Neodiprion lecontei: one gene and its partners. The protein of the gene in region 1 purifies or fractionates together with the protein of each later gene. This does not show direct contact. Links are inferred from orthologs where the notes say so. Each region holds a gene or a part of one and is shown in the gene's direction. Other genes may lie near its edges. The genes, in order: histone deacetylase 6; sequestosome-1; lipoamide acyltransferase component of branched-chain alpha-keto acid dehydrogenase complex, mitochondrial; mitochondrial import inner membrane translocase subunit TIM50-C.

What was found.
Region 2: the proteins of histone deacetylase 6 (region 1) and sequestosome-1 purify together in Homo sapiens (affinity purification with western blotting; 6 studies listed by BioGRID). This does not show direct contact. The link is inferred for Neodiprion lecontei from reciprocal best matches to the Homo sapiens genes HDAC6 and SQSTM1.
Region 3: the proteins of histone deacetylase 6 (region 1) and lipoamide acyltransferase component of branched-chain alpha-keto acid dehydrogenase complex, mitochondrial purify together in Homo sapiens (affinity purification with mass spectrometry; 3 studies listed by BioGRID and IntAct, with this or other methods). This does not show direct contact. The link is inferred for Neodiprion lecontei from reciprocal best matches to the Homo sapiens genes HDAC6 and DBT.
Region 4: the proteins of histone deacetylase 6 (region 1) and mitochondrial import inner membrane translocase subunit TIM50-C purify together in Homo sapiens (affinity purification with mass spectrometry; 3 studies listed by BioGRID and IntAct, counting the BioPlex papers as one, with this or other methods). This does not show direct contact. The link is inferred for Neodiprion lecontei from reciprocal best matches to the Homo sapiens genes HDAC6 and TIMM50.

Annotation. Positions count from the first base shown.
Region 1 is NC_060261.1:13,092,475-13,098,257, forward strand, and holds the start of histone deacetylase 6, read left to right. Parts: upstream 1-1,922; 5' UTR 1,923-2,569; coding exon 2,570-2,572; intron 2,573-2,853; coding exon 2,854-3,033; intron 3,034-3,091; exon of another isoform or gene 3,092-3,224; intron 3,225-3,513; exon of another isoform or gene 3,514-3,603; coding exon of another isoform or gene 3,604-3,627; intron 3,628-3,697; coding exon 3,698-4,120; intron 4,121-4,277; coding exon 4,278-4,375; intron 4,376-4,450; coding exon 4,451-4,624; intron 4,625-5,306; coding exon 5,307-5,499; intron 5,500-5,619; coding exon 5,620-5,679; intron 5,680-5,739; coding exon 5,740-5,783. Other genes in the region: mitochondrial intermediate peptidase, read right to left, coding at 1-6, 76-216.
Region 2 is NC_060266.1:21,785,190-21,791,002, forward strand, and holds sequestosome-1, read left to right. Parts: upstream 1-2,842; 5' UTR 2,843-3,022; coding exon 3,023-3,209; intron 3,210-3,337; coding exon 3,338-4,332; intron 4,333-4,414; coding exon 4,415-4,693; 3' UTR 4,694-4,953; downstream 4,954-5,813. Other genes in the region: glutamate receptor ionotropic, kainate 2-like, read right to left, coding at 1-257; 28S ribosomal protein S29, mitochondrial, read right to left, coding at 5,073-5,309, 5,388-5,735, 5,804-5,813. UniProt on the Homo sapiens protein: Molecular adapter required for selective macroautophagy (aggrephagy) by acting as a bridge between polyubiquitinated proteins and autophagosomes.
Region 3 is NC_060264.1:33,775,944-33,782,093, reverse strand, and holds lipoamide acyltransferase component of branched-chain alpha-keto acid dehydrogenase complex, mitochondrial, read left to right. Parts: upstream 1-2,216; 5' UTR 2,217-2,348; coding exon 2,349-2,459; exon of another isoform or gene 2,460-2,463; coding exon of another isoform or gene 2,464-2,466; intron 2,467-2,571; coding exon 2,572-2,699; intron 2,700-2,834; coding exon 2,835-3,396; intron 3,397-3,504; coding exon 3,505-3,900; intron 3,901-3,979; coding exon 3,980-4,213; 3' UTR 4,214-4,846; downstream 4,847-6,150. Other genes in the region: transmembrane protein 45B, read right to left, coding at 5,069-5,875. UniProt on the Homo sapiens protein: The branched-chain alpha-keto dehydrogenase complex catalyzes the overall conversion of alpha-keto acids to acyl-CoA and CO(2).
Region 4 is NC_060265.1:20,614,252-20,621,101, forward strand, and holds mitochondrial import inner membrane translocase subunit TIM50-C, read left to right. Parts: upstream 1-2,365; 5' UTR 2,366-2,498; coding exon 2,499-2,640; intron 2,641-3,168; coding exon 3,169-3,521; intron 3,522-3,600; coding exon 3,601-3,720; intron 3,721-3,945; coding exon 3,946-4,053; intron 4,054-4,132; coding exon 4,133-4,264; intron 4,265-4,455; coding exon 4,456-4,579; intron 4,580-4,712; coding exon 4,713-4,816; intron 4,817-4,931; coding exon 4,932-5,024; 3' UTR 5,025-5,516; downstream 5,517-6,850. Other genes in the region: uncharacterized protein LOC107223414, read left to right, coding at 1-302, 424-980, 1,060-1,363; uncharacterized protein LOC107223411, read right to left, coding at 5,535-5,977, 6,066-6,239, 6,330-6,595, 6,777-6,850. UniProt on the Homo sapiens protein: Essential component of the TIM23 complex, a complex that mediates the translocation of transit peptide-containing proteins across the mitochondrial inner membrane. Has some phosphatase activity in vitro; however such activity may not be relevant in vivo.

The DNA of each region.
Region 1 (5,783 bases):
TAGACCCTGGAAATAATGAGATAAATGTGCCACACTGTAGAAATGGTCAAAAAAGTTCTGTTATGCAGAAATTACCGTTTCTTTTCGCGACACTAAAGAATCAATCACATCAACCGACTTTGTGTTGAATGCCGTTGCTAACGAGGACCATGTGCTAACATCTCGATACTTTCTTCTCAATCCAGTAACAACGTTGTTTCGAATCAACATCAGCATTTTCTCAACTTAGGACTGTGAATGATAATAACAGTAAAAATAAGAAGCAGTAACTGAAGTCAGTGATTAGAGATCAGAGATGAAAAGTAAGCAAATAATGGAATTAATAAACAAATAAGTGGATAAACGAATGTAATGGCTTACCTGCTATTTACATTTCTAATCGTGAATCATGTGAATATATAAGTATGTATGTACTATTGCATATTCAAGTTTGGAAATAATATTTATCAATTATTTGTGTAACATTTAAGAAATTTCCTTGTAGTGCAGCTCATATTTCTCATAAGTTTGAAGGGTTTATTAGTGTACGCCGGGTTATTCTGTGCAGGGACTCGATCAAAACTATCCTGGTAGAGTGTATGTATGTAATATGTGTACCTGTTGAGTAAGAATATCCTATTCATTAGACTTCCTGCTTACAGGACTCCGTCGGTAAGAAGAAACTTTAGATCACAATTTACCGAGTAGCGCTAGCTGCACTGATTTCTATATACATATATATTTCTATATACATATAGAAACTGTGCTACAGAGTATGAAATGATACGGTCGAATGGTCTAACGCACATGCGTTAAAATTCTAGATTTAAAAGTAGTTGTCTTGTCAGGTTGACAAAGCGTCTTAAGTTTAGATGATGGGACACCGCAATGACCGAAGGCAATGTAACCTCAAAAATTTTGACAGCTGTCGGTGGTAGGTTGTGCTCAACTTGAGTGATACCCCGATTATTCATTAATTGTTCAAATGAAAACATCCACAATCTGTCCATTCGATCTTCAGCAACTGTCATCGATAACTGTCAAAGTTATTGAGGTTACATACCTCACGGAGACCTGCCATCTAAACTTATGATGGTTGGTTAACCTGACTAAACTGTTTTTACCACTGATATATATGTATATATATATATCAGTAGGCTTTTTACTATAGAATATGGTCTCTAGCATTTCAGCGCATGCGCGTTAATCATTCGACCGTTAGCTACTCATTTCTGTAGGCAAAAACCCGTGATAAGAAATTACGTGTTGCGTTTGCCACTTTCAGTTTCTTGTTGTTTTTGTTTAAACAAAGTTTGAGAACAGGAAAACCGGTTTTTTCAGTTTTTCACTTCTAGGCAGTGTTACCAACTCAGTAGTTTTTCCACTAAATCTGGTTGTTTTTATTCTGGGGCGGTAGAAAAAATTCACTTTTAGTAGTTAGTTGATTTTGTCAGTGATATGGTTGGTCATCAGTTTTTACACGTTTTAATTCCTTAATCATCAGATGACAGCATGAAAAGTAAATCTTTTTTCCTTTTTTTTCTATGGATGTTACAGTTTATATCAATAATAAATATTCATTGTCTAATAACAGTAAAGTTTATTTGTTTTTTTTTTTTATTCGATTTTATTAGCGGTACATTGACGTCCAATGCTAATGTTATATTACCATGTATTATAAAGTAATAATTAGATCCAAATTCTATTATAGATGTTCATTTAATACATACAAATAAGATAATTATTTTTAGGCAAATATTCGCGCGCTAAATTGAAATAAAATTTTTAATACAGTCCACCAGGGGCAAGTTTAGTGGTTTTTCACTGGAATTGATTGGTCGCCTTAGTGAGAGAGAATTCAGAGTGTTGGCAACACTGCTTCTAGGATGAAAACCATGAAACAATCCGTGTACTCGGTTTCTCTCTGTACTCTGTAATGAGATGAGTTGTATAGAATTCAAAAATTTTCAAAATGCACGCTGGATCGACTCGATCGAAGAATCTTTGTCCAAGAGAAACTGAAAAATCCATCAAATTAAAAAAATCGTGGCCCAATTGGTTTTCGGTTTCAGTTACATTGCATGTCACGAATTAGATTTTCATTTTTTCTATTGGTTGGTCTACATCCCTTTGTATGGTATCCTGCTGGCACTGTTCGATCTAACTGTAACGATTAATCACAGTAGTAGAATCAAACTTAAATAATCAACGACGGATATGACGGCAGAAACTAATAAAATTGTAGTATTTTCCGGAAAAAACAGTTTCAAATAATACACGGGCGTAGCCTCAATTTTCGTGCAACAAAGTGGCGATTTACGATGAGCAATCCCATACTCTGGCGATGAGAAGCTCTTATTCAGGGGGGGAGAGAGGGTTATGTTAGGGATGTAGATAATTTTCCTTTCCATTCATCAACGATCAAACATTAATCTTGATTGAAATTCATCGATGAATGTGATGAAAAAGTTCTCCGATTCATTTGAAAAATGATCACCAATATCATATGACGAATCTGTAAATTCAGGACAATCAAATCAGGAGATTGTGAAAGTTTCGAGGTTATACTATTCACTCAACGAACGTACCGATGGTGAGACATATGTGTATTTATTCATTCCGTCATCCCACACATATAACCATAAAAGGAATCCTCATACGCTTTGCCATATATGAATATCGACATTCGATAAGAGAAGATTATTAATTCAGTTCGTTTTTCTCCCCACCCACCCACTAATTACCTACGGTTGTATACAGTTAGCATCCAGATTTGGTATTCCTGTAAATTATCATCAATTTAAAACCTGTCATTTATCCTTACCGCTTCATATATTTATTTTACAATCATGCCATTTGTACTCATCCATTCAGACAGACACAAATGCCAGTGGGAACAGCCTATTTACTGCCGCTAGACAATTGGCAGAGAGTGAAATACATCTGATCCAGGTGATAGAAGGGACCAGAAGAAGTAACAGAAAAGTTGCAAAAAGCAACATGACCACAACAGTGAAAAATGTTGGCGGTAAAAAATCAGCCAAATCGATGAGTGTGAGTATAAGATTATGGTTTTGCAAGTGATACTTGGATGAAGAAACCTGTTGCATACCTTTTTATTTACTGGTGAAATTATCACACACAGAAGTTGAGATGTATAAATATCTGCAATGTTGAGAAAGTATTAACGTTATCAATAGCAATATCTCGACATTCGAGGTAGACTGTTTACTTGTTCATTAGATATATCGGAATGCACTGCAGTTCAAAGATGCAAACTTCAATCACATTATCTAGAGATGATTTTGTACTTACTTTATTTGTGTTTATCATATAAAGCTGTTTACACTTTTTGAAATAGAAGATTTCCTGGGTTCTCATATTTATGACAAAAGTTCAAATAAATGGTTTAATGAAGTATCTTATCTCAAAAGTATTCAGATAGCCCTGCCAATCTTGCCAATGTCATGCAGTATATCTCATTATCTATCTGTGTCGCTGTAGTTTGAAAAGCAAATACAATGATAATAGTTTCATCAGTTCCACTGCACTTACAGTCAAAGTCCGTTTTAACCATTGATAAATACTCTGTATTCTGAAGCAATTTATCAATAAATTCATAAAATGTCTGAGAGTGGTGAAGAACAGGTGACAATATAATTAATTTAATGATAATTTGCAAATTGAAATTATTTTCCTTATATTTTCATTACTCAAGGCCAGGCCTTCGGCGGCGTTGGCGGCAGCAAAGCGAGAGGCAGCAGAGCGAAAGCTTGTCCACCCGAAAAAATCTGGAAACACTATCCTCAGAGACATTTACCAGAAGGCCATGGACGCCCAGACAATAACGCGTGGCGAAACAGGTCTTGTTTGGGATAGGTCGATGGAAGAACACCGGTGTCTTTGGGATTCGACATATCCGGAATGCCCTGAGAGGTTCACAAGGATTCTGGAAAGATGCAAAGACTTGGGCTTGATCAGTCGCTGCAGGGTTATAGAAGCGCGTGAAGCCACTCATAAAGAAATATTACTCAAACACACACAGCAGCATATTGATGTGCTGAAAGAAACTGCAGAATGCAAAGACGAGGACAATCTTGAAAAGTTGGCTTCAAAATATGACTCTATTTACATTCATCCTGTGAGTTGGTTGCAGAAATAACAGAAAATATATAATTTTGATTGTTATTCAATAATTTAGTAGCAAATTTGTGGATTTGCAAAGTCTGCTGATTAAATTTGGATATGCAACAATTCTTTTCAGTATACTGTATTGATAACGACTCTCTTTCCTACAGTCGACTTATAGATTATCGCTGCTGGCTACTGGCTCAACGATAATTTTACTGGAAAGCATATGTAAAAAAAAAGTACAAAACGGGATGGCTATAATCAGGTGATTATTCATTGTCCTAGTACTTCTCTTGGTCACTATTTACTATATTTCTGATACACAATTCTCGGCTCTTAGGCCGCCAGGTCATCATGCAATGAAGGCTGAATATTGTGGCTACTGTTACTTCAACAACGTAGCTATTGCTGCACAGAAAATGCTCAATGATAATTTGGCAAGCAGAATATTAATCGTTGACTGGGATGTTCATCACGGACAAGCGACCCAACAAATGTTTTACAATGATCCGAGGTAAGCGCGTAATTGCATGGTAGATGATCTTTAGTGTGAATTGGCTTCACTGTTTTCACCAAAAATTAAGAAAAGAGAAGAAACCGATTAAGAAATCTCTCACAATGTCATTTCTATTAATGCTGGTGAATACGAACGAAATAACATCCGTAATATATAATAGAAATGAATCTAAGTATATTTGTATGATACAAGCTAAGATATGAAGAATTTGAGAGAAGGATTTAAAATTCGAGCATTTTAGATTGTTGAAGACTGGTGTTCCTGTTTTAATTCTAATGTTTCTGATTTTATTCTATTCACCGACCAGATTCCCTCAAATTGTATGATAAATCTTTTAAAAAATTTACATTATAACGCAGTTATATATAACATTTAAATGTAATTGTTGTCGAACATTTGCCGTGGTGTACTTATACAAATACATTTTTTCCCAATCTGGAGATAATTATATTACTGGAGATTTTTCAAACGGCTTTTGCTATTTTCCGAACTTTTGATTTGGACAGTAAAACCAATTAATCCTTGAGAAAATTGTCAAAATGAAAATTGATATTTTTCAGTTTTCCATTGATTGGTGATTCTTATGGAAAAAAATCAACTAGATTCGTTAGATTTTACTCTACAATGGCTCATCAAGTTTGAATTTTATTGTGACACATGTGACACCATTTTGTTCCAGAGTTGTTTACTTCTCCATCCATCGATACGAACATGCCGAGTTTTGGCCAAATCTTAGGGAATCAAATTACGATTACGTTGGAGAGAAAAAAGGGGAAGGTTACAATTTCAACGTTCCCCTCAACAAAACTGGAATGACAAATGCTGACTATATCGCCATATTTCAACAGCTCCTTCTTCCAATGGCTTATGAGGTGAATCAGAGAGTCAGAATTTGAGCTCAAAATGAATATATCCTAATTAATTATTTCAGTAACCATCAATTCAGTATATTCTTATTAATCCAAGTACACCCTTGAACAAAATCATTCTAGTTTCAACCGGACCTTGTTATTGTCTCAGCTGGTTACGACGCAGCTCTTGGCTGCCTTGAGGTAATAAATAATTCTAAACTGCAACTAATTCTTACTCATTTTATTGTTTTATGGACCTAGTTTTGTCCTGACATTGTCATTGTGTCTGCCGGATTCGATTCAGC
Region 2 (5,813 bases), on another chromosome or scaffold:
AGATTACTTCTTCGCTGATAGAGGCTCATGTTGTTCCCCAGAGCGAACCCTGTGTCCAAATCCCAGATCGCTAGATCCTCCGTTTTTACCCTGTCGACCAGCCAGTACCATTCCTGAATGACCGGATGTGGAGGTCGAGCGACGAGCATCTCGGTGTTGAATGTCAGGTGGAATGTGTTTTCGCAGGGCCTGGCCGGGGGATAATGTTCGAGGAAAATCTTGTCACTGAGTATCAGGAGCCAGCAGGGTGAGGTCATTTCGAAATTCTCAGTGATTTTTGAAAATTCAGCCACGAGTTCGCGCGTCCTCAAGTGCACGACAATCAGCGCTCGGATAACGCGTTTCGAGTAAAATTGCAGCGTTTCATTGAGTCGCAAAAACTCCACCGTCAAAGATAGGATTCCTTCGTGAGAAAATTTTCGCACAATCTCACCTTCGCGATACACGTTGTTCAAAGCTAAGGAAAAGCGGATCAATGAAACTCGATGATGTGATTCTTGATTAAATTCTCATTCAATTATAATCAAACTTACTGTCGTTTCTACTGCGGACCAAAAATACGCAGGAAGTACCGAAGTAAGTATGCACCTGGGTTACCAGGCTGAAATAATTCGGTACTTTGGGGATATCGCCGATCGATGAGGCGGCCAAAAGGGAGATGAGGAGGATTTTGGCGGTCGGAGTAACGGTCCGCATTTCTTTTTGCAGGTCTGGAATCGACTGGCGCCGCAGCAATAACTAATACCTAATATCAGTGCCGACGGTAATAGTGCAGGATAGCATCGTGCCACCACCAGCTGTTAATAAATAATCCTGCAGCACTTCTTATCCGCCGCTGAGATCTTCGCGTTTTACTACTCTGCTTATTAGCTGTATAGATCGCTGTCGGTATAACGTATTTTCTCATACATTATATATGTGGTATCATACCTGTGCGAGTTTTAAATCAGCGTGTGAATATGCGAGTATTTAATAACAATGTGCTGTCTCGAAATAAATAAAATTGCTAGGGTGATAATCGTTCGATGTTACGAACGATGTTTCGGCCTATACTAATTAATGTCTGTATTCTTCCGCGGTAACGTGGCCTATAATACGAAATTTCAAATAGAAATCAAATAGAATGCAATTAATACTTGCGAACAATGTCATAACCGCGTTGCGCAAGCCTAGAATAATTTCTTGCGTAATAACTTCAGCAACTACTGAATGTATGTAAGTCGCATTCTGTGGCTACATATACGCGTATAAGTAGTCAAAGCCATGATAGCGTAGGAAAATTGTATTTGCTTCAGCTTTCACCGTGCGTTTAGTTACTTACACACTTGCAAAAGTTTCCGTTTATAATAAGAACGCGTATTATACTATTATCCTCCGCTGATCTTGTCTCTGGAGAATCTTACGAAAACTATCAGAGACCAGATTCTAGGTAGTCGTCGAGGCGATAATTTATTCCCACGCACAAGTTGTAAACTTTACCAAAATTATACACCAACTGCGTGTATATTTCATATATTTTATTGAACTTTTGCAAAGACTATTTATATTGTAAAACGCGTTCAAATAACTGTAGATATAAGATTATTTTATTTGCCTGCTGTTTCAGGTACGTTACAACTATCCTAAACAAAATTCGTATGTTGTATCCGCATGCGGATTTCCATCCTTTCGAATATCGTATAGGCTATTTAATCATACCCGTATTAATACCAACACCGGGAGAAACTTTGCTTTGAAAAACTATTGTTTAGTTTCTTTGAATAAGAAATCCTTTAACCAGATGAAATTGGATATAATTCCACTACTTTTCTGTTTTCTAATTTGCTGTGACCTACTCTGGAAAATCTTGAATCACCTAACTTTTTAGATTCTTTTATCATCGTCTCTCAACAAAGTTTAGAGGATAAATTTTCACGAGGGCATAGAAGTTGGGAATGTTCTAGTATAAATGATTCATTGTTAGTGAAGCTTGAGCGAGTGAACTCGTCAACTTTCGGCATCAATTCTGCCATGTAATGCGATGCCGCTGGATACCCAGTTTGGCTTCACACTGACGCAACCTCACGCAACCTGTAGCGAAATGTAGATAGGAAGCACGGCGTAAAACATGAAAGAAAAAATTTAATGTTCTATCAGGTGTGAGTCACAAGAAAAGAAATTTCAAGATGCTTCTGGTATATTCCAATGCCAGTTCTATGGGTAAAAATTTCAGCGAAATTTCATTTGATTATAAACTTAAACGCAGTACTTAAAATTAATGGATGCAAACGAAAATTAATGTTTTTCCACCGGTGCAGAATATCTACATTTTTTCACCGTATGAGTCAAGTTGGAAACATTGAAAGATTAGATTTTCGAATCCGTATCGCGTAATTCCGATTGCAAATTAGGCTATCTGAATATTCGTAATGTACGCATTATTCACCCAGTAATCCACGTATCCAGATATTGATAACTTGTCGTTGTATACCTCACGTGGTAGTGAGTCACGATGAATAATGATGACAATGGCAACAAAGTGACGTGCTGCGCACGAAAATTGCATCTCATGCAGGCCGAAGACGCCATTTTGAGGTTCGAATGTTTAAATGTCGACTTTTCAAATGTAGAATTTTCCACAATTTCGAGTCGTCGGATGAAATTTACATGATGACATTTCTCGTTGAAGTTGTGCGACGAGTTTCTTCAAGCTACATCATCTCGAAGTAATCCCCGAAAGCTGTGTCACGGTGTTTTAAATTCGAATTTCGAACGTCGTGGCACGGCGCCATTCGCGCGACCTGCGCGCCAGTTGAGACGAATGGCCGCTTGCGGATTGCGTCGAGTATAAAAATCACCGTTTGGCAACTGCGCACATCATTCGAAGACTCTCATCGCCTGACGACGCTTCTGTGCACGCTTCAAAAAACAAAGCGATTTGTAAACGATTCAAGGCGTTTACGAGGTTGAAAAATACACAACACGCGAATCTACATTCCAGAGCTTCTGACATTCTGAGTTCACAATCAGTTCAACATCCACAATGATGTCTGAGACGGTCAGCTTCAAAGTATTCTTGTCCAAAGAGGAGGACCCCATCGACGCTAAGCCCGAAGTTAGGAGATTCGGCATCGATAAGGACGTAGTGACGAATTTTCTCTACCTGAACGAGAAGCTGCAGTCCGTCTTCGCGGCACTCCGCTCGCGGCGTTTTACCATCTCTTGGAAAGGTACGAAATATCAATCTGATAATCGCGTAAAATGCGAGTAATCATCGTCAACGTTATTGCGCAATTCCAAAATCTGTATATTGTAAATTTGAAAAATTATAGTAATGACACAAACTTTCTAATCACAGACGCTGACGGTGACAACGTCATCGTATCCAGCGACGAGGAGCTCAGAATTGCCCTATCCGAAACTGCTGAGCAAAGCATTCGCAAACTGTACGTCGTCCTGCACTCCGAGTACCCAGCTGAGAATGCTCAGCCGGACGCCGAGCAGCCACAGGCCATTCACATCGACATAATTTGCGACGGATGTGAAAAGGATGTCCATGGATTTCGTTACAAGTGCATCCAATGCCCAAACTATGACCTGTGCGCGGATTGCGAGTCCAAGGGACTTCATCCGGAGCACTGTATGATACGCAGTCCAGTCCCGTTGCAGTGGAACCCCCACGTTGGACGTCGACTATCGCACTTCATGTACAAGTTAGCCAGAAAGAATGGGCGGACTGCAAGAGATACAGATTTGACAAAGTGTCCCTACAAGAGGGTAAAGTTTACCCATAACTCGCACGCTGGGAGACTGGAGGCGGATAGACCTTCTTGGCTGGACACTGTAACTGCCTACTTGAACGAATGGGCTCAACTTCCGTCAGAAGGAAGCTGCCCAATGAAAGAACAACCTGGGCAGAAGGTGGGTGAAGAATCTAAGACTGAAACTGAGGACAAGCGAAGGATCAATCGACAGGCAGAGCTTTTTAAGAATGTCGGAGAGAATCTAGCCAATTTTTTGAACCCATTGAGTATCGACGTTGAAGTTCATGCCGAGGCTCCCAATGCAGCTGGGAAGGCTCCTGCTGGCGGTAACGCAAAAACCCCACCTGAGAACAGCCCACCTAGTACTTCGGCACACAAATTTCCTGGGGAAGGAAAGAAGCTAGTTGATACTGCATCGACTTCTGAGAACCCTGTACATCAGCCTACTGTCGATGCTTCCGCACCTATCGACAAACCTAACATGGAAAGCGAGGAGTGGACACTGCTTAATCAACAGGATACCCCGGTCTCTTACGTTACTGAAGGAGTTTCGAGCATCAGTTTGTCTACTGGAGCCGTACCTAAAGTGGTAAATTTCTCTTACAATAAATTGCAATTTGATTCCATGCATTGAAAAGTGATCGGTGTTCTATTATATTGTTTGTTTTCAGCCGTCAACAACTGTTCCGACAGCTTCTGCACCAGTTCCGATATTGGCTTCTACCGTAGCTACGAAACCAATTTATCCCAAATTGCCGCAACAGGCCGAGGCTCCGATCCCAATTTATCACCCCGACCCAAACATCCAACGCGCTGTGGTTGCAATGATGCAGATGGGTTTCACAAATGAAGGCGGATGGCTTACTCAGCTGCTGGCTTCCAAAAATGGTGACATTAGCAAGGCTCTGGATATTCTGCAACCAGTTCGTCCCGGCAATAGCAAGCAGTAAAAAAAACATGACGAAAGTAGTGGTTAATTGTTGACGACTAAACTGCTAATTCACTAACGATATATGTTTGATATCTATCATGTGCATAGTTTTTACTGCAATTTTATTACTTTTACCGTTTATATTGTACGTAACTACCGAAAAAAAGCATTCCCTTTTGTTTGCTCATGTTTTACTGTGAGAAATGATAATAATTCCTGCAATGGTGATTGTATTGACTTTGTTTTCTGATTCCTAAAATATAAACAAAGCAAAAAGCATTGAATTGACTATTTACTTGATTTCACGATAAACCTACTTTTCCTATGAATTTAATACCTTAATTTACGAAAATTATTCTAAGCTAAACAACTTTTATTTCAATTATTACATATCCATCTTACAAAGCTGCGCATAAATTCATAAGTTTGAAACCATTTTTGGCAGATAAGAGTTTCAACTCTTGTAATCCCTCGTCATCGCAGTTTCTGACCCACCGTCTATCTTTGAAGTAATCCATAACATTATAAAACTCGGAATCCGTGTAGGGGTTCACAGATACTGGCATAAAGGGATCCAAATGCTCAAAGCCGGCTTTTCCAAGTAGCAATCTTGGAAGATCAGATTCTTTTTTGCCCTAGATGAAGACCAAATAAGTTATCATGAATCTAGTATTCAGATGATCAAAAAACGGGTAAAATGTTCGCTAATTTACCCCGACAGCTAATTGATCCACGCTCACGACAACAGCTCCGTTGCACCAATCGTATTTCGTCATTTCCAATGCGGCAATAGTGAGTGATACTTTGTCAGGTAGCACCATTGCTTTAGCATCAGTGAATACTCTTGTGCGGTCCGTAAAGAATATATTGTAGCCATCGATCATCACTAGCGTTTGACATTTTCCCGCAATACTGGCTTCCTTCAGCTCTGAGGTAAGGGCGATTATTATTTCCGAAGCATACCTCACCCGATTGATTCCCAGATCAATCAGCTGCATCAAGGGTACTCCACGAGGTGTTGATTCTCGTAAACTCCACGTGTACTCCTTGTCGGTAGTGAGCTAAAAATTTGGTACAAGTTTCGTTGCATTAAGTTCCCGATCAAAACTAATTGCACGTCGATACGTACCTTGAGCTGT
Region 3 (6,150 bases), on another chromosome or scaffold:
CTTACATCGGATAAAATTTAAGTTCACTTTGACCCGAAGAAACCCATTGTGCTAACATGCGATGCGTTACCTTACGGCGTTTCAGCAATAATGGCTCACAAAGATGAGAACAACTACGATCGCCCGGTTCAATATGCAAGCCGATTACTAAAAACTCATGAATGCAGTTATTCTCAATTGGACAAAGAAGGGCTTGCAATTACATTTGGTATAAAATCATTCTATGAATTTCTATTTGGTTCCCTTTTCACCCTACAAACAGACAATGCCACGCTAGTCCGCATATTGCATCCGGAAAAATCAATTCCAACCATAGCCACAACGCAGTTACAGAGATGGGCGGCATTTTTAGCTGCATTCAATTACAAAATTACGCACACAAAAGGAAAAGATAATTATGCAGATTGGCTGAGCAGGCTTTCCATACCAAGTGACGATGATAAAAATGATAAGAGATTCGCAGTTATACAAGACATGCCAGATACCTTTTTGAACAATATCATAACATTCGATTTCGCGACATTGGATTGGAAGCAAGTCCAAAAAGCGACGCGCGAGGATAAAGTGCTGTGCAAAATTTTAACATTTTGTTTGAATGGATGGCCTGAAAGGGAACCAAAGGAAACAGAAATAAAAGTGTATTGGCGCAAAAAAGACGCGTTAGCGGTGGAAAATAATTGTTTATTATGGGGCCACAGAGTAATTATACCGAATAAATTACGCACTTTAGTTTTAAAAGAATTACACTGTAGCCACTTTGGAATACGTAAAACGAAAGCGTTAGCCCGTGGGTATGTTTGGTGGCCAAACATCGACGATGATATTGATCAGATAACAAAATCCTGTTTACCCTGCTTAAAAACAAATAAGAAACCGATGAAAATACCGTTAACTTCATGGGGATGGCCAACTACGCCATGGCACCGAATACACGCAGATTTTCTTGCACCAATCAATGACAAAATGGTATTAATGGTAATCGATAGCCATTCAAAATGGCCTGAAGCTTTCATTATGAATAATATGACCGAAACGGCTACAATCAAAAACTTTTCCGACTTGTTTTCTCGACACGGGTACCCGATAAATTTAGTTACAGGCAATTTCCAATCATTTCGTGGTTATAAATTTAAAGAATTCACGAAAAAGCACGGTATACGCTACAGTAGGATTCCGCCACACCACCCAGCGACAAACGGCGCGGCCGAAAATTTTGTAGACACATACAAACGAAAAATTAAATGTATGATGATGAACAACATGAATTTAGAGGATGCCACACAGCAATTCCTACATGATTACAGGTCGACCCCGCAAACGACAACAAATCAGTCTCCGACAAAGTTATTTCTTAACCGTGAATTACGGAATTGTTTCTCGCTTTTATGCCCGCATTATGTACAGGAAACGGTTGATGAAACGCATTCGAGGCAAAAAAAAAAAAAAATTATATCGGAAGAAACCGCTCACATTTCAAAGTAGGAGATATAGTCATGGTTACAGATTATCGGGGGACGCATTCATCATGGGTAAAAGCCAAAGTTTTAAAAGAATCAGTATCAGGGGTAACTTACCTTGTAGAAATTTCACCTAATATAGTATGGAAACGGCATAGCAACCAGATGAAACTGTCAATAGAAGAATGTGTCAAACAAAGTGCAGATGTTGATGCAATACCATTAATGACACGGCGGTCAGAGCGAATCCGAAATCACACAGAAAAATAAGACAACGATTAAAACATTTTTTTTTTTTCTAGTCAGAGAGAGTGTAGTAGTATGGAATACAGGCAATGTATGTGGGGAATATGGGTAAGCGTAGACACGTGTGTATGTGTTCGAGCAAGCGTGTCGATATAGACACGCCAGTATGTACTCGGTATCCGAGGTGTTAAGTAACCGCTGTACGAACCAGTTGGTGAAATAAAAGGAATAAAGCAAAACACAACAGATATCGTTGTCCACCTCATTTATCCAAGATATTACAAGATGATTGAAGAATTCAAACTGACGGGGGAAGGGGGGGGGGGGGGGGATTCCTGAAGCTGCAATTATCTTCACGCGACAAACCACCCAGATTTTTACAAAATGAAGAAATACGTACCTGAGATGTATAAGACGATGCGCGACTCGGTTATGTTTGATTTCGCAGTGCTGTTATCAGTTGTTGTTTCTCAACCGAGTAAGTTACGTAAGAATTAATCGCACCGAGCATGAATCTGACGTTCGTGATTAAATGCTATTCCGTAAGAAGCGCGGCCATTACTTGTACGGTAAGGCGGGCAAACGGAGAACGCTCGTCACTTTGTTTCGGTATCGACGTATAATCAGCTCAACGCTTAACGCGGTATGAATATCGCTCTGATTGCCAGTAACTGCAGAACTGTGCGGTCAACTCGTTGCAACATCGCAATGACGTTCTTCGTTCGTCATCTAGCTACTAGTAGATTGGTTCTACCGGTAAATGGTGCACGTATTATTGCTTATCAGTGATCAATCGTACCGTTACTTTCCTTATCTCGAACCGCTTTAATCGGTATATCGGATTCGTAAATTTTTTGCTCTTTTTCAGCCTAAGAACATCAAACTCGAGGCTGTTCTCAGATCCGTATCGACCTCGGTTTCGCTTCAGGGTCGCGTAGTGCCGTTCAAATTGTCCGACATTGGGGAAGGAATTCGTGAGGTCACGGTCAAAGAATGGTGAGCGACTTCAATCATCTCCCATGTTTGTGTTACACGAAACAAATTGAGACAGCCTGTAACATTCCCGCATTGAAAGTGTCGAACGACAGTATCAGACAGGGTGACAAATGGTTGACTATTTCTTTACCTCAGGTTCGTCAAACCTGGAGACAAAGTGAGCCAATTCGACGAAGTCTGCGAAGTACAAAGCGACAAGGCTTCGGTCACTATAACCAGCCGATACGACGGGATGATAAAAGCCCTCCGATTTAAGGTAGACGAAATCGCTTTAGTCGGACAACCGCTGGTCGACATAGAGCTGGATGACGAGGGGGAACATGGGAGCGAAGAAGTTTCGGGGACAACTGAAATATCCCCCCAGGAGAAAACAAGCCTCAACACTGAACATCAGCGGGGGAGTGAGGCCTCCCGGGAATCCCTGATCGGAAAAGTTCTCACCACTCCTGCTGTCAGGAGAATAGCCATGGAGAAGGGTATTCGATTGAAAGACGTCGTCGGAACGGGTAAAAATGGCAGAATACTAAAGGAGGACCTTCTTTCATACGATGACAACGAGACGTCTGACAGTGACATCGAGGAATCAACCAAGCCGCAAAGGCAGCCTGATAAAACGAATCGAGTCCAAGGAGAGGTTAAAACCGTTGCCCTCAAAGGATACGCGAAACACATGTGGACAACGATGACACGCTCTCTGGTGAGTCCTACCGCGTGCCAAAATCTACCCAGAGTCGAAATCTTAAGGACTCTTAGGACACATTTGTTGAACAATTCATTGCACAGATTGTAAAGAATTTCATTTCAGAGCATCCCGCACTTCGTTTACAGCGACGAATGCGACGTGACGAAACTCGTCAAGTTAAGGGATGAGGTCAAAGCCGCCATGAAGGAACGGGGGATTGCTCTGACCTACATGCCATTCTTCATAAAGGCGATATCAAAGGCTCTTGAAAAGTTTCCCGAACTCAATGCCAGGCTGAACGAAGATACTCAAACCGTCGAAGTACTACCGTGGCACAACATATGCGTGGCCATGGATACTCCGGAGGGTCTGGTCGTGCCCAACGTAAAGAACGTTCAGAATCTCGACGTCGTGACCATCGCTAAGGAACTCAACAGGCTCCAGGAACTCGGAAAAAGGACAGCCATACCACCGAGCGACTTGGCGGGTGGCACATTCACCTTGTCCAACATCGGAGTGGTAAGTAGTGTTTAAAAAATGTAGAACACAGAGATGAAGAGTAGTGAAAATCGTCAATTTTATTAATCGTTGCACACAGGTCGGCGGGACGTACACAAAGCCTGTGATATTACCACCGCAAATAGTAATCGGTGCGGTGGGAAGAACACAAAAACTGCCTCGTTTCGACGCCGATGATAAGGTAGTCGCAGCCCAGATACTGTCGGTTAGTTGGGCCGCAGACCATCGGGTGGTCGACGGTGCGACGATAGCTAAATTCTCAAACCTCTGGAAATACTACTTGGAGAATCCCGCGCTGTTGGTAATGAACTGATAATGATGACGAAATTAGCGCGAGGTAGACTTTTAAATTTCGAACAACTGTACGGCAGGATCACTGCTGGGAGATTTCTCAGGTCTGATTGTTTTTGTACTTTATAATACTACAACTCTTATGGTAGAAAAAACAAAATCGACATTCAAATATCAGTTTTTTAAATTTATTCGAAAGTGTTGACTTACAAATTTCATATAGGCAAAATATTTCGATCGTTGTAAAGAACATTCACATAAACATGTATGTACATGTAGATGTACAATATTTTTGGAAGAGCAGATCTCGAAGTTCAAGATCTGGATAACAGTGTACAAGATTTAACAACGCTTATATGCATATAAGACTATACAATATTACAATTACACGGTATTAAAATACATCATGATTACATATATCATGTGAGGCACTGGCAATTGGCGACTGGTTGAATAATAACACTTTTTCATTGTATGTTACAGTAATATCACAAAAAATATTATATACAAATTTATTGTATAAAAACATTGTTTACCTTAGGCACGTTAATAACGAGAACAACTTGATCATGTGGCAATAAGTATTAGATACTAAAAGCGAGTTGCTGTAAAGACGATCGATATAGCTAAATAAAATTGGTACGTGAATCGACAATATTATCAATTACAATATACGAGTAAAAATTGAGTAAATAAAAAAATTAATGAGAAAACAAAATGAACCACTTGAGACGTCTTTACAGGTTGCGAGCAAAAATAAACAAGGCACATTTATAAAATAGCTAATAAATCGTGTTACTGTGATCAGAGATCAGAAGTTGGGATCTATCAAGGCGACCTGGCTTTTTCATGTATCACAAGCTGAACAAATTTGGCCCTAAACTCTCTGATCTACGTCATGGCAGTAATCATAGATGGGGATTTCGGGAGGATCATCAGGCCTCAGTTTCGGCGCGCAACTTCTTGTGACCGCGACTACGCAGAGTGTGACAATAAATGAAGCTGCAAAGTGCCAGGAGAAGGAAAGAGCTAGAGTCTCGATTTTCAGAGATTCAAGATTACATTCCACAAGTGTGGCAAAATTGCATTCCACCCTGGTTCTGACCATGTGAGCGAGCCAGCTACCGTGAAGCAGAGTGGAAGCTGCCCTGAGGAGCTTCATCTCGGGCCAGACCAACTCGAGAACGACGGCAAAGGAGCTGGTCCAGACGATCCTAGCCAAGACTATCGCAGAGTTATTGGACTGGCTGGTCCACAAAAATAAAAATCCCTCGATAAAGAAGGCCTGGGCAAGCGCCATTTTGGCCAGACCGTCGCTCACGACGTGGGGAAAGTAGAAAGTGAGAACATCGACGAGGCCTGAGAGCGCAAAAAAGAGGTAAATTGTAGCGTGCACCACCTTCGGCGATGGCGCCGTCTCAACGCTGTTAGGCAAGTTTCCCGTGAGGGTGCTTGCCAAGCCCATCGCGGTCGCTAATAACTTGAGGGTTCCCTCCAGCGGATGTCGTCGTAACAGTTTCTGGCAGTTCCGAGAAGCCCTGACGAGCTTCGTCGGTTCTCGTTCGTGATCCAAATCACGGTGACTGTGCCAGTATTTAGCGTATTCGTAGCACCACTTCAATCCAAATACATAGAATATGCAACCAGATAATATATAGCCCAAGGCACTGTCATTCCGGTCCATTTTTAATATTCTTTTTTTTTTTTTTTCTTTGTTAAATTTATTTTTCTTTTTTTATCTGCTGACGTAAGAGATTTTCTGGAAACAAAATAGTCTCTCAATTATTACAGGGTCAGTGACGTATTCGCGTAGATTAATCAATGTCTTGTTTACCAACCTTCAGGAAATTGTCAAGATTATGTATATTTTTTCCCTAATTCAACCGCACTAAACTTATCAGACTAAATGTAAACAATGAATATTTGCCCGCGCACACATTCATACATCACAAACTGATT
Region 4 (6,850 bases), on another chromosome or scaffold:
TGTTAGAGAATGGCATAAAACGGGGTAAGAAGAGAACCAAGATTATGAAATCAAGCAGAGATTCGCAAAGCTGTAAAAATTCTGTGATGGAAATACTAGTGCCAGCAGAAACTTGTCCTATGAGTCAAAACCTTTGGGTTGAATTAGAATCTATTTGCGATAAAATGGTCAAGCCTGAAGTACCAAATGCAAAAGAAAAACCGTTGTATTCGACCATTTTAAAATCAACAAGCAATGCTGTGCCATCTGAGCAGGGAAAATTGGATGAGGAAAAACCACATAGTGTCAAGTTCCCAAGCGAGGTAAGAAATTGATGGTTTGCGAGCATTTTATTTGTAATTTACACCTTGGGAAATCGTGTGAATTGATTCGTTAAGTAATTTGCTCTCCTTCTGAATGTTGTTTTCAATTTTGTATACAAAGGTGAGCGCCGAAGAAAAGGATAACTTGCGCGAGACAAAGCACGATGTCACCCCAAGTGAAAGTGATATTAATGTATTACAGAATGTCAAGATCATGAAAGAGCAGTGGAATGCTAACATTCGCCAGTCGGTTGTACAACATGATGTGGCTCCAGGATTCCAAGAATCTCCATTATGCGAAGAAATTTCAGAAGAGGTATACAAAGAAAAGCTGTTACAAAGCAATGAAAAAATTCCTTCATCGAACGGGTCTCTCAAACTCTGTCGAAAGGGTGAAAAATGTTCCAATGATTCTACTACATCAACTCAATCAAAGAAAAAAGTGGTATCTAATGACGAAAACAAAGATAATAACAAAAAACGCAAGAAGAAGCGCGGTAAAAAGTGGATAAAAACACAGAACAATTATGATACTGAAGATTTAAAAAAAGTTATGTATAACGAAAAAACTTTGCCGCCTCCGAAGATGAGGCCTACGAAAATTCAAAAAGATTCAAAAAAGCAAAACACCAATCAAAAGAGTAGTGGTCAGTTATCAGGCGATTGGCAACTACAAAGGTAACATGATTTACAAGAACTTACTCTAAATCGACCAGTATTTTGTATTCCTATAAATGTGTAAACTCGAAATTTACAGATCTCATGCTCGGGAGATGCATCGCGATGGTAATCATCGCTCTGAATGGTTCTTCGAACGTGCTTCTTCGCGTCAAGATGCTCGAGAAAAGGTTTTTGCGAAAGTTGGTTCTAAATGTTATGGACCAGACAAATGTCGATCGAATTCCAAAGAACGAATAGATGATGAAGAGTCTTACGATTACTGGGTCCAACCAAAGGAGACAAGAGATCGAAAGCATTGGGGTGGCCGTGCCGGTTTCACGGCAAAAAAGATGGTCAAGATGCTTCATCGAAAAAATATAATGCAAACGAAACACCATTGAGTTACGAAGTCTAAGAAAAAACTAAATGCATATAATACCTATTCTTTAATTCTTGTTCAAAAATTTGTACTTTAAAATCTATACTATATTTTATTCTACTAAGCGTTCAAACATATGGCTGTTATTATACAATAAGTAAGGAAACAAATACTTAGAGAAAAACCGTCTATACAGAGAAAAGAAAAAATTCCAGAAGCTCTCTTGGTGGTTAATATTTTCTCAGTTGAATTGTGCGATAAAATTAGTAATGATGCATTTATAAATTGTTTAAAAAATTTTGACTGTTTTTCGGTAGACCCTTCATTTTGAAATTCCTGAATGAATCATTATTATTTTAACGAAAAAGTTGATTTGTATTTCTGCAATTGTCCATTCAAAATTTAGGCATATTGGATACACTAGTCGGAGTAACTAATATTCGTTAATATCGAATCTTTTTTTAAAGAAGTGCTCAACTAAATGATCGCTAATTCAATAATATGGAAATGCCAATATACCTTATAAAATGCTCAGCATTACCTTTTGGCATCTACACAGAGATATGATGATGGTATTATCTATATTTATACAATATAACTTGAAATAAAAATTTATTATTGAATAATCATCTTGCACGAAAGAATATTCATATGGTATCGAGAAGTTATTATGGAAATACACCTATTCTGGTCATTCATTCCACCAAACCGTTAAGTGGAAGCAATTTTTCAACGTGAATGATCTTTCAAATTCAGGAGAAATCACTAAATCAGCTTGAATGAAATTTGGTTGGAAAATCTAATGTTCAGTAAAGAAGGGCTACATAATTTTGCGAACTTCTACGAACTCCGAAAATTGTAGCCACTGAGCCTTCGGAAAGTCGATTATTCCTGTAATTTCTGACAAAACTTTCGGAAGCTTCATTACTTCCCAATTGGAAAACACTCATCTTTTTTCCAACAGAAAAACAAAATTATGTTCATCCTGGTGATTTCGAAATTTGCAAATACATCGGTTTTCCACGTGTGTTTCGATATTTCGGCAGTTTGGGAATCTACCGATAAGTTAGTAGACTGTGCTTACCCGAAAAATCCCGGCATTTCTTCACAAAATATTTCAACCATCCAACTGATCAAAGTGTGGTACGTGATAAGCGATGGCATTCGCGGCTCGAGGATTACGAGTTTTCTGTAAAATATACAATAGCAACAGGTGCGGAACGTATTCAACGCTCCGTCAACCGATTAGAAAATTATCCGTTGTTCAGTCAGCACAAAAATTTTATTACAGCACCGATCGTGAGTACATTGCGCTAACGACATAACCTCAACCTTGCGAGACTTTGATAAACGAATTTAATACCGTAGAAAAAACCGTTGAAAACTCTATTTACTGTTCTCGTATCGGCGAATCTGCATTACTACAACTCTGCATTAAAGCTAATTTTAATATCACAATTATTTTCCGTATACTCTGTCAAAAATAAGCTCTGCAAATTAGCACGTGAGGAATTAAGCCTTTGGATACGTTTTCGTCATTCAAAAAAATGTAATTCAAATACAATGAGTGTTTTTTACAGCTGAGTGTCATCTTATTCTGAACCGCTTGGGAGGGAGGCTAACTTTAATCGTACAATACAATCAGTAAACAAACGTTAAATGTTTTCCTTGCAAAACAAAATATGTGAACTTTTTTTTTTTCAAAGTTTATCAAGAAATATCACAGCATTGAATTAATTTCTTAAAGTTATTTAAAGATAAGGTAAAAGCTTGCTTGTATTCAAAGTGTGTTACATTAGTGGGTTTATTTTATTCATGTTTCATTAGCAAACCGTCCTGGGATAGCTGGGAGTCTTACAAACATACAATCGACAGTTGATCAAAATTTAAAACCCGTGAGTGCAACAGGTGGTCAAAATGAAGAGTCGAGTCAAGATGCGGATCAGAAAAAACAAGAAGCCGAAGATAAAAAGCAGCGAGAACATTCGTGGAAAATGATGAAGTATAGCTTTGCATTCTTTGGAGTATCGATGGGTGTGATGGGCTCTTTCTTAATTTATGAATTAGCTAGACCCAATGTTGACGAACAAGGAAACATTATCGAAGATGAATTCAGTAATTTACCTTACTTCGAACAGTTGTACAAGAGACTACGTAGGGAACTAAACTACTACAAAAAAGTATGATATCAAGGCTTTTTTTTGTTAAATTCAATACCCCTGTTCTAATCAATCAACAACATCAAATCTGTTCATACAGCTTGTTCAAGAACCAAGTAGAGAGAAGTTACTACCAGATCCATTGAAATATCCTTATATGCAACCTCCATATACCTTGATTCTTGAATTGACAGATGTATTGGTTCACCCTGATTGGACGGTAAGCATTTACTGCGTTATTCACTATGACAATGTTAATAAAGTTCTGAATTACATTCTGTGACTACTATGTAGACCATGCAAAAGTCGAATCATGAAATACAATGTAGTTCCATTTAATTTGTCGTTGAATATACTCCAATTCAATAATTACAACCACTACTCATCATGAGATGATAATTCATACAACTTTCACTCTAACAAACTGGTCATTATTTTCTAACAGTACCAAACTGGTTGGAGATTTAAGAAACGTCCAGGAGTCGATCAGTTTTTGGAGGCTGTTGCACCACCTCAATTTGAAATTGTGATTTACACAGCCGAACAAGGAATGGTGAGTATTTTATACAGCATACTGTGCGTTTACTTTCTGAAATATTTCTTTACGTATGCAAAATTTCAATAAATTTCAGACTGTTTTCCCCATCTTGGATGCTTTAGACCCGCAAGGATATATTATGTACAGACTGGTGAGAGATGCAACGCGTTTTGTGGATGGGCACCACGTCAAGGATTTGGCTGCACTTAACAGGGATCTCAGTAAAGTGAGTTCAATACAATGTGTAAAGCATTGGAAAAAAAAAACACTTGGCAGGGATAAGAATTTGTTCCAAACTAGAATAATAATAGTAAATAAATAGTTGCTATAAAGAGGCATATTCCAAGTACCTGTTATGTTTCTTCATCTTGTATCGTTTAATTATTAACTATGATTTACATGCTTTGATTTTCTTAGGTAATCGTAGTCGATTGGAATAGCGAAAGTGTGAAACTCAATCCTGAAAATATACTGAAGCTTCCAAGGTGGAAAGGGAACGATGATGATACGACTTTGTATGACTTAGCTGCATTCCTCAAAAGTATGTTTAAATTAGAAATTTATTAAATGAATGCTAGATCACTTAACGATATTTCGAGATAGCTTACACGAAAATGAGTTACCTGCAAATCAGAAAGTTGAAATGCTGTAACGCAAAATTCACCTTTTTACAGTGATATCAGCAACAAATGTAGAAGATGTGAGGGATGTTCTTAATTACTACAAACAATTTGACAATCCATTAGAAGCTTTCAGAGAGAACCAACGAAAACTTTTGGTAAGTAGTCACTATTTATATAAAAATAATCAAATTGATTTTTATGATTATTTAAAAACATAGTCTACAGCAATAAATTTACGATAGATTGAACGAACGATTTACTTTTCTTTAGCTACAAATGGAGGAGGATGAACACAAGTCATTGAAGGACGACAACAAAGTGCTGATGTCGAAATGGAAACCATCATTTTTACGGAATCGTTAACGATTGAACGTAAAAGGTGGAAAAGTGCAATATTTTTTGCATTTACTGTCAGAACGAGTACGCATAAATCACATTTCATTATCGCCCGTGACTTTCTGGATCAGAAAACCAGTTTGAAAATGCTATAATGAATGAAAACTCACAGTTACTTATTGATATCCAATCATAAGTTGAATAATTTATTTAACCTGTTGTATTACTTAATACAACATATTTTGTAAATAAGAATATACAGTAATTGTAAACCATTTCAAAAATTTATTTTTTGACTTAACCTATGCTGTAACATTTACCAAAATTAATGCAGGCCTTCGAAGTTACCAGTTTCCTATTAATTATTTCTCACTGTTTTATCTCCATGCAAATTATGATATATGGATCACTGAAACTAACAGTTCTAAAAATATTAATAACAATGTTAACATTTCATCGCCATGGACTATCACTTGTGCTTCGATTTTAAGAATAAAAAAAGAAATTCCGATTCTCCGACTCGAACATAGGTACTCATTAAAAACCAGCAATGTAGTTTTTCTTTGTAGCCAATTTTTTCCGAGATTTTTTTGATTTGGGTACATCATAACAGGATTGCTCATTCTGAGTGTTATCAAGAGTATACTGGGGTGGTACATTTTGAGATACGCTAATCAATTCTTGAGAAAGAATTTCGTTTGATTCGTTTATTATCGATGTGTCTTCTTGGGACTGTGTTAGATTTTGTGACTGTGTCGTACTTTGAGAGGGAGTTTTCTTTTCCAACCAACTCAACACTTTTTGGTGCGGAGTTACAGTCAAGGGGGCAGAATCCTGTCGTATGTCCCACATTGCTAAAAGTTCTGGGGCGAAAATGTCAACGTAAGAATTTAATTCCTCCACTGACTGAAACCACTTCGGTTCATGACATCGTACTTTTGGTTCCTTCTGTTCCAAGCGACGATTTTTATTCCTCATTTCTGGTGAAAGATATCATTAGAAATTGAAGTAACTGATTCAATCTTGCTTGCAATAATAAATTTCGATTTAATCATTTTTCCAACTCACCATTGAATATATGTTCCATACTTGCTTTTTCTGAGATTACTAAGGGCTTCACAGTTTTACTCTGTGCTAAACATGCTTCTTCCCAAGCCTCTAATGCCAGTAGAGAATTTGTATTCACGTCTGAATCATTTCCTGAAATCTTCTCGTGCGTTATGCACTGGTAAAATATATCACCTATATCATTTGAGCCATATAAAATTATTAAATTTCTTTTGTTGAATTCACAAAAGTTACTAGTATGCGGTTACACGAAACTTATTGTACCTATTGAATTCTGAGTGAACAGAGTCACATCATTTCTATCGTTTAGATTCAACACAGTACCAGCATTGCAAAGTTCTAATCTGTTTCTCAGGTTCGGTTCTAGACATTTTCCTATGTCTTGGCATGCTTTCAAAGTTTCTGACGTACTTGGCGGCATGTATGGCAAAGCATATGAATGCATTTTTGTGTCGCTTGTCCAATTGTTAATAATTATTGAATTTTCCCCAGCCAACTGGCTAGATAAAGTGATAATCTCTTCACCATTTCTGTCAATAGATGATATCATTACGTATTCATATTAGTTATTTAAAAATAATGTTAACCACCGGAAGTTGGATGTCAAAATAGTTTTCCAATTTATAATAGCTTAAGTGTGGTGGGTAAAGCATATTTGTAGAGTAATAGTTTTATATTTTAGTATGTGATCTTGTAACCAAATATACGTACCTTTCTATAATCGAAGAAAAAACTGGAGGACTTTTAAACTGGTGAGTCCATTTCTGTACAACACTTGAATTTCC